Regions from separate parts of the Mus musculus genome. Here region 2 is reported to be linked to region 1. Evidence: microRNA targets listed by miRTarBase, many of them from high-throughput screens and not tested one by one. Region 1 holds a microRNA gene; the other region holds the end of a gene's coding sequence.

Region 1 (4,068 bases):
TTTTTCCCCAAATTCTGCTGTTAAAGTTTTACTTTAGCAGGCCACAGGATAACTAACCAGGGCTATACAGAGAAACCATGTCTTGAAAAACAAACAAATTGGGCTGGTGAGATGGCTCAGCAGTTAAGAGCACTGACTGCTCTTCTGGATGTTGAGTTCAAATCCCAACAACCACATGGTGGCTCACAACCATCCATAATGAGAAACAGATAATAATACTTTTAAAAAACAAAAAACAAAAACAACAAAAAAACCTATGGACTGGAGTGAGTGGGTCCCGGGAGCAAGTGGGGCCCAGGAGCAAGAGGAAGAAGGGAAGGGGGGAAATGAATGAATGAATGAATGAATGAATGAATAAATAAATAAAGTAAGAAAAACAAATTTATCATACCTCTCACTTCAGCCATAAAGTGATCTATTTTTAAATACATTTCAAAAATTACTTTCCCATATATACTTAACTATATCACTCACTTGAGCTTAGTGGTTTTGTTTTTGTTTTTTTAACCTTAAAACTTTCAATAAAGTACACAAATCATATGGGAGAAAAAGTGTTGATTTTTATTATTCAAAGGAAGGGGAATAATATCAGACTTGAAGAGAAAGTCCACTTGTGACATTCTTTTCAGCTCTGTGTTCACTACCTACCTATAGTAAATTCAGGCTTGAGTATTCAGGCTCAAATTCGGATTAAACTATTCATTAAGCAGTGCAGTTTTGATTTCTAAACTAAAACCCATAGGTAACATAAAAATCAAGCGACTGGATTATAAGTGCCTGTAAAAAGAAAAACAACAACAACAACAACAAACAGTGCTTAGGGCCTTTAAAAAGATCATACAAGTGAATGATGGGCTGACCTTGTGGACCACAGAATGCCAGTTGAGACTGCTGGCTTTGTCCTGAATTAGCCAGAGGATGGTGGTTTTACAACTTTATGGAAGCTTTGAAACCAGAACAAGCAGAAATAGTGGTGAGTAGGGCTCAGATGTCCTGGCCTAGAGCACGAGATATGTGTATCTCTTTCGTTGATTTCTGTCCAGCAAGTCTGATATAAATTGAGCTGTTCTTATTTTTAGCTCTAGACAAACCTAGAGATTTTTAGTACAGTCTAAAAGTCATCTCCTTGGGCTGGGGCATAGCTCAATGGTAGAATACCTGTCTAGCTTGTGTAAAGCTCTAGGTTTAATCCCAGACACTGGGACTAGGGGATAGGAGAGGATCATGTCCTTTTACTTGAAGGATAACAGCCAAAAGAACTAGATTCTTCCTAGGCCAGTTTTTAACTTTGTTTTTCTTTGTTACAGAGGAATGATATTGCCATGGCAATTACAAAATTTGATCAGTTCGACTTTCTCATCGATATTGTTCCAAGAGATGAACTGAAACCTCCAAAGCGCCAGGTGAGCTGGGAGGATTTGCTCAGCTGCCACCTCCAGGGCCTGGGCAAGATGCTCTCCGGAGCTCCTCCCTCCCTCCCACCCAAAGCATTTCTTGTTTGTGGTTCTCTTCCGTAGTCCAGATCATCCTCAGCATCTCCTTCTACTCATTTATGGGTACTTTTAACTCAGTGCCTCTGGGGTGGGGTTGCAGTGAGAGAACAAAGTTAAAAAGACTAGTCACAGATAGTGGGGTGAAGCTCAGTTCAGGATTTCTTCATCTAAAATAAAAGCTTTTTCAGCCAGTCAGTTTTCAGATTCTAAGAAACAACCTCTTTGTGCATAGTGATCAGATTGGAGCCAGTGGCTTTTATTTTCTTACTCTATGCTGTGTCTCTGTAGTGTGATGACTCTACCCATCATCCACTGAGTCAGAACCTATGACCCCATGACCCCAGGAATCAATAATTAAAGTTCCCTAGATGCTTTGGTGTCCAGTGAAGTTTTAGAACCACCATTTACATTTTTCTTTTTAATTACAAGAACTAAGTGTCTGCCCTTCTTCTGCCTGTTCATCTCCAAAGATCACACCATTTGTTTTGTTCAGCACTTGGGTGCATATAACTTAGTTGTGATTGTGATAGACCCCAGTCCTATAGAGCTCATTGTTTCAGGCACGCAGTTTGCATGATTCACTAGGTTTAGTGTAATATGCCTCAGAGAAGTAAAGCCATACCATGTCCTGCTTGTTTTATTTTTGTTCATAAAATATAAGTGTTTTTAACTAATTATTTTGTAGTATACTGTTTAGAGTCATTTAATGACAACCATTCTCCCCATGTTGACCTGTACAAATAACCAGTCAGAAAACCTGTTGGAGAAGTGGGCATCCTAATTGACATTAATTCTGACCCTGCATGAGGGTTTTTGGGTTAGCAAGCCCTGGGTCACCTCCTTATGGGAGCAGGTTGTGCCTCACTGAAGCTCTTTATTTTTCTGGGCAGTCTTTGCTACTGTAAACATCCTTGACTGGAAGCTGTAAGGTGTTGAGAGGAGCTTTCAGTCGGATGTTTACAGCGGCAGGCTGCCACAGTCGTCCCCGGCTGCGCTCATCGGCTTTGAGACATTGCAGGTTTGTGCCCATGAACTTGTCTCCTTTTCTTGGGTTACTTCCTTTCTCTCTGAGAAGTCACAAGAACTCAGACTGTCTCTCTTCGTTTGGAGCTGATAATACCATGAGCCTGTTTTCCTTATTGGATTTTTGCTCCCATGTATCCACCAGGAGTTTCCTTTAAAGACAAGGTGGTAAGATCTGTGATGCAGTCAGGCATTGCTCTTATTGTACTGATTGTTCACTATGGGCTGCCTGCTGAATAGATGACTAAAGAGAAAGTTATTATCCTATACCAGTGGTTCTCAGCCTTCCTAATGCTGCACCATTTAATACAGTTCCTCATGTTGTAATAACCTCCCAACAATAAAATTTTTTTCATTGCTATTTCATAACTGTAATTTGCTACTGTTATGAATTTTAATGCAACTATCTGTTTTTCAGTAGTCTTAGGTGATCCATGTGAAAGGATCTTTCCATCCCACAAAGGGGTCACAACCCACAGGTTGAGAGCTGCTGACCTATACCTTCCTCCAAAGTTGTTTGTTCTTCTGGGTCTGTCAGGGTGTTAGATTTGCTGGTGGTCTACCCCATCTCCCTCTTTTGTTCTTTGGTTTGGTTTGGATTTTTGAGATAGGCTCTCCCTGTGTATCCCTGGCTAGACTAGACTGTGTAGACCAGGTTGTTCTGGAACTCGGAGAGATCTATCTGCTTCTGCCTCCTGAGTGCTGGGATTCAAGGCATGGACCACTATACTTAGTCCATCTCCCTTTAAAAGGTATACAGCAAGAACACTCCTTTAGCTGCCTGGTTTTAGTTCTTTGTAGGTGTTTGAGCTATTGATTGGCATCCTATTCAGGACAGCTGCTGCCTGGCATTTAAAAGGTTGAGATTGCTGAAAGCTGGCCTGAAATTCTAAGATAGCATTTTTTAATTCTCTGTAGACATGAAGTTTTCCCAAGCTCCAAATTGGCTGGCACCTCCTAAAGTCCTTTAAAAGTGCCTACTCTCCAAAACACACCCTCTGAAGGAGGCAGCAGTTCACCCTGCCACTAAAGCAAATGTATTTTTTCCCCTAGTCTGGAGCTGGCTGCTCATCAGTGTAGTGATGACCCTGTGCTGTGATACTGTTTGTTCACTGTCACTGTTTTTCAGTCTCAGCACTGGAGAAGCCACTGTTAGTGTGGAGCAGGTACCCTTCTGTACTGAGTGTTAGCATGGAGCAGGTACCTTTCTGTACTGACCTATTCGGTCAGGTGTTTTCCTAGGGCTTGGTGCTGATCCATCTGGAAAGGGAGACACTGGATTATGAGGCTTCTCAGAGATGATTTGGAGTCTCCCTCTCTCTTTTTTGCCATGGAAGTAAGTAGATTGTCTGCAAGTAGATGGTAGTTGAGGGTTGACTTCTCCCCGACTAAGCTATGAGTTGAAAGTTCCTTGCTCATTGAAATGTCATTATCTTTTCACCCATTTCTTTAAATCAAGCATCATCATTTCCTGCTGGCTTGATCTCCATTTGCAGAATGAGTGCTTCATAAAGCAGAAGAACCTTACTTGTGCCTCCTTCCATCACAGCAA
Region 2 (4,068 bases), not on the chromosome of region 1:
GCTTAGTAGAGTAAAAGAGAGACAAAAGCAAAAATGGCTTACAGATGTGCACTGCTGCATAAGAAAACTGAATTGACATGGGACTAATTTTTTTTTTGTCTTTTGTTTTTTTGAGACAGGGTTTCTCTGTATAGCCCTGGCTGTCCTGGAACTCACTTTGTAGACCAAGCTGGCCTCGAACTCAGAAATCTGCCTGCCTCTGCCTCCCGAGTGCTGGGAGTAAAGGCGTGAGCCACCACGCCCGGCTGACATGGGACTATTTTAATTGACCTTTTTTTTAATGCCTGTTAGGTAAATACTACCACTGAGCTATACCATACCCCAGCCCGAATCCATACTGTAAGTGACTTTTTTGGACAAGGAATACTTTATTTACATAAAATGTCAGAAATACCACTGTATCTTCTCATAATCCTCTCCTGTAAATAAACTGGGGAGATATCAGTAGGAGCTTTAAGGACATCTAAGTTGAAAAATGGACATAGGAACATCACCAATAAGCTAGACTCCAAAAAACTCTGTCTAGGATTTTATTAGACTGCTTTTTTCCCCCCAATATACCTGTATTGGAAGATTGAGACAAAAAGGCACAAACTCACATTAAATAAACAGGAAATCTAATCAGTTCTATAAAGTGTAGTCTGTAAAAGAAGTAGCACTAAGAACCAACCCAAGGACGTCAGAGGTCCAGGGGGGACTGAAAGGAAGAATGTGGAAGGATACACACATGCCCACAGCAGTGACCCTGACCTGTCCCTCCCCAGTGTCTCTCCACAAGAAGGCTGGAGCCCAGCAGGCCTTGTGCAGAGACACTGCTGCTCCCGCTGGGAGTAAAGCAGACCCTGGAAATGTAATGGAAGCAGCCAGTCTGAAGAAGCATGTCGCACTCTCAGGGATTCTCACCAGAGGTGAGCCTTTCATCACCAGCCCTCTTGAGTGCTAGTTAATTTTGGGGGTGGGTAAAAAAAGGGGATACTTAAAAGCCAACACTTGTCCAGCAGCAACACCACCCATGGGGATGGAACAAGACAGGGACATTCCTCCTTTGTGTTTATGTGGGCAGGAGCCCTAAATCCAGGCTGGTCTCAGGAAATTCTAGTTCGGATCATTTGGATGCTTTCAAATGTGGGCAACAGCAGGGGCGCAAGGCAGGTAAGAGCAGGCCAGGATTGAGGCCAATGTGACTGATATGTATAGATCTTATGAAGTGCTGAAGGAGACAAATATCTTTTGACCCTCATATCATGTAAACTATCTGCGTAGACTATCAACTTCTCTCAAGATAACACATCTGAACTTTAACCTAGTTACTGAAGGAAGATCTTTAAGCACAAATAGGATTTGATAGGTAATACAGAGCTTATATGAGAACATTTATGTTTTTTCCATTTCCATTAGGAATGCCTCTTCTCCAACTTTCCCATGCTACTAGCAGCTGATATGCTAATCACCAAGATGCCCCAAGTGCATGCCTAAAGACTCTACAAGGTGAGGAGACTAATACCTTGAAAGGTGTCAGTAACCAGACATCTCCTGGTCTTAAAAGAACCTCAAGGAAGGTCAGAGCTAACCATGCTGAGGGGCCCAAATCTGTCTACCCTTATTCCAGGAGGACCACAGGGAAGCATCCAGTCAGGATGTCACAGGTGCAGTCCCTGAGACACTGCCTTATTGCACTTAGAAATGAGTAAGGCCAACACAGACAAAAACAAGGAGAACGATCCATCCTACTTCTCACTCCCCTAGTAGAGATTTGGTCTCTAACAGGTACCCTGGCAATCATGGGCTTGGATCACTACACACTGGGCTGACTGACTGAAGAAGGCTTGGGAAATGTCAGGTGACACAATTCTATCCCACTCTCCCACCAGAAAGGCATCCTCAGTTTCTGCCCATCTAGAAAAGCCAGTGCTTTGCAGCTTCCACTCCCTTGGAGCCTGGGCTTCCCCAGCCTGCTGTGCTAACTGTTCCAGGCTACAGTCACGGCTTGCTTTTGATTGTCCAGGACAGAACTCAGTGTGGGGCAGGATGAGCTGAGTTCTTTATCTGCAAATTCTTGTCCAGTGATTAGAAACAGGAAGGTACATGTTTTGCTAGGGATAAAAAGCTTTTTGCATGCTTGTTTGTGCAGCATGAAAAGACCAGGACTCTTGCATCCTAGCCAGCCTCACAGAGGACAGGGGTCTAAGAAAGCACAGAGAGGATTATTGCTGAGTGGCAGCACCAGCCCAAAAGGGAAAAGGAGCACGGACATACAGCGCTCCTGTGGGGTCTGAATGGTGTCAACAGGCCATACTGGACAGTTCTCCAGCTGGGCAGTGGTGGGGTCTTGTAGGCTCTACAGAGAGATCCAGACAGAGTGGGCAACAGGAGGGCTGAGAAGCCAAGATTTCTAAGAATATTAACCAGAGATGCAATGACTCGAGTAGGGGTTATTTATTATTTGCTAAATTTTCTGAGACTGGCTGGGCCTTGGGTGCCTTCTTGGTGCTTAGAGCACGCAAACAAGAGGTTACTAGGAGCAGAGGTCAGGGGTCTGAAGCCACATTCCTATTGTGAGGAGCTGGGGGTAGGTGTCTCTGTATTTTTAACTCCTCCTCTCTCCCCAAGTGAATATTCAGCATTGCCAAAGATCTGCCCAGGAAGCAAAATAGCTCAGTTTATCCCAAGGCTGAAATAAATGAGCTTAAATAATCACATCACAAAAGGCAGCTCATTGGGAAGACTGAGACCATCACTTGGAAATAAAAGGGGAGGGCATACAGAAATGGGTCAGAGCACAGTGGAGAGAGGATGAGCTGTAAACACAGCAGCTACACCATGTATCTTAGAGGATCAGGCTCCCGCACACACAGGCTTTATAATACCAGACGGTCTATTTGTTCACAATGTTAAAGGGCATCTAGAAATAGCTATAGTAAGGGATTGAAAGTTGCCTGAAGAATGAGCACAGAAAGGCTGCGTCCGAAGATGGCCTGCCACTCAGGAGGGTGGAGCTGCTGGGCCTTCCTGTTGACCACTGTCTTGCAAAACTAGAAAAGAAATAGAAATTATTAAGGAAGCAACAAGGGCAACCAGAAGCACACAGTAAATCATGACAAGTGGAGAGATCCCAGGAGGAGGCGTGCCAGTTGGTGGGGGCCTTGGAGAGAGAGTACTAAGGTTCTGGCACTGACTACAAAACTGGCATCTGCTTAATCCTCCTCTTCCATCCCCAGAAGCTGCTTAAGAACATGGGTTGGGCTGGGGATATAGTGCTTGCCTAGCTAGCACGCACACAGGCCTGGGTGAAAAAGAACCATGGGAAAGCCAGAGAATAAAGGTCCTAGGTTTTCTTAGCCTCTTGGTGCTAGAAGGTGCTCTTTGAGCAGATAACTTCCTCTCAGCATAACAAGGGACACCCCAAGTTAGCCCTATGACCTGGGTAAAAAGTCTTCCAGCCCCTGAAATAAACAATGTCCATAATTTGTTTCTATGGAAACCCAGGAGTCCCCTCGTTAGCACGGCAGTGACCATCAGTCCTAGAGTGCCAGATGAGGAATGAAGTAGGTTTTCTCATTTCACAGGGAGCTGCTGGCCTTGAGGACCCAAGCCCACTGACAACAGCTCGGTACTTACAGTGCAGAAAGGGCGGTGGCGCTAGTCGTCTGCTGTCATTCCTTTCACTGGGTCCTTTTGTCTCATCTGCAACAGAAAAAGCAGAAGGAAATTGAAAGCTTTTGTTGCTGATGGAACTTTACCATGAATGCACCCTGTCTTCTTGATCCTGCCAACAGGGCAGAATATTTGTGTGTATGCACCAAGCAAAAATAACAAGTTTGAATAAATAATATCTCAGACCATACCATTTATAATCTATCTCAGGTCCTACCATCCTCTACAACCTAAAATTTACCAATGCTAAGCCCAGAGCTATTTTCTTTTCTTTTCTTTTCTTTTTTTCTTTTTTGAGACAGGGTTTCTCTGTGTAGCCCTGGCTGTCCTGGAACTCACTTTGTAGACCAGGCTGGCCTCAAACCCAGAAATCCACCCACCTCTGCCTCCCAAGTGCTCGGATTAAAGGTGTGT

Evidence for each region. Region 1 holds the annotated microRNA mmu-miR-30e-5p (UGUAAACAUCCUUGACUGGAAG, at 2,394-2,415, shown strand). A microRNA usually pairs through its seed, bases 2 to 8, with sites in the 3' UTR of a target mRNA and lowers its output. Matches are read on the target gene's strand: a 7mer-m8 pairs with bases 2 to 8, a 7mer-A1 pairs with bases 2 to 7 and ends in A, and an 8mer does both.
Region 2: miRTarBase lists Pitpna as a target of mmu-miR-30e-5p. Seed matches in the 3' UTR shown: 8mer at 2,800-2,807 and 7mer-A1 at 1,246-1,252.

What each region holds. Positions count from the first base shown.
Region 1 is chr4:120,771,007-120,775,074 of GRCm38, reverse strand. It overlaps Mir30e (microRNA 30e), which reads left to right and starts at 2,378; the gene lies at 2,378-2,469. It overlaps Nfyc (nuclear transcription factor-Y gamma), which reads left to right. Exons shown (of 10, transcript NM_008692.4): 5 at 1,308-1,403. Mir30f (microRNA 30f) reads right to left here and starts at 2,469; the gene lies at 2,378-2,469.
Region 2 is chr11:75,625,081-75,629,148 of GRCm38, reverse strand. It overlaps Pitpna (phosphatidylinositol transfer protein, alpha), which reads right to left. Exons shown (of 12, transcript NM_008850.2): 11 at 3,619-3,684; 12 at 345-3,032. The coding sequence ends at 3,640. It also overlaps a transcript of Inpp5k not described here. Among named protein-coding and RNA genes, the nearest start is that of Inpp5k, 3.9 kb to the left of the region's middle.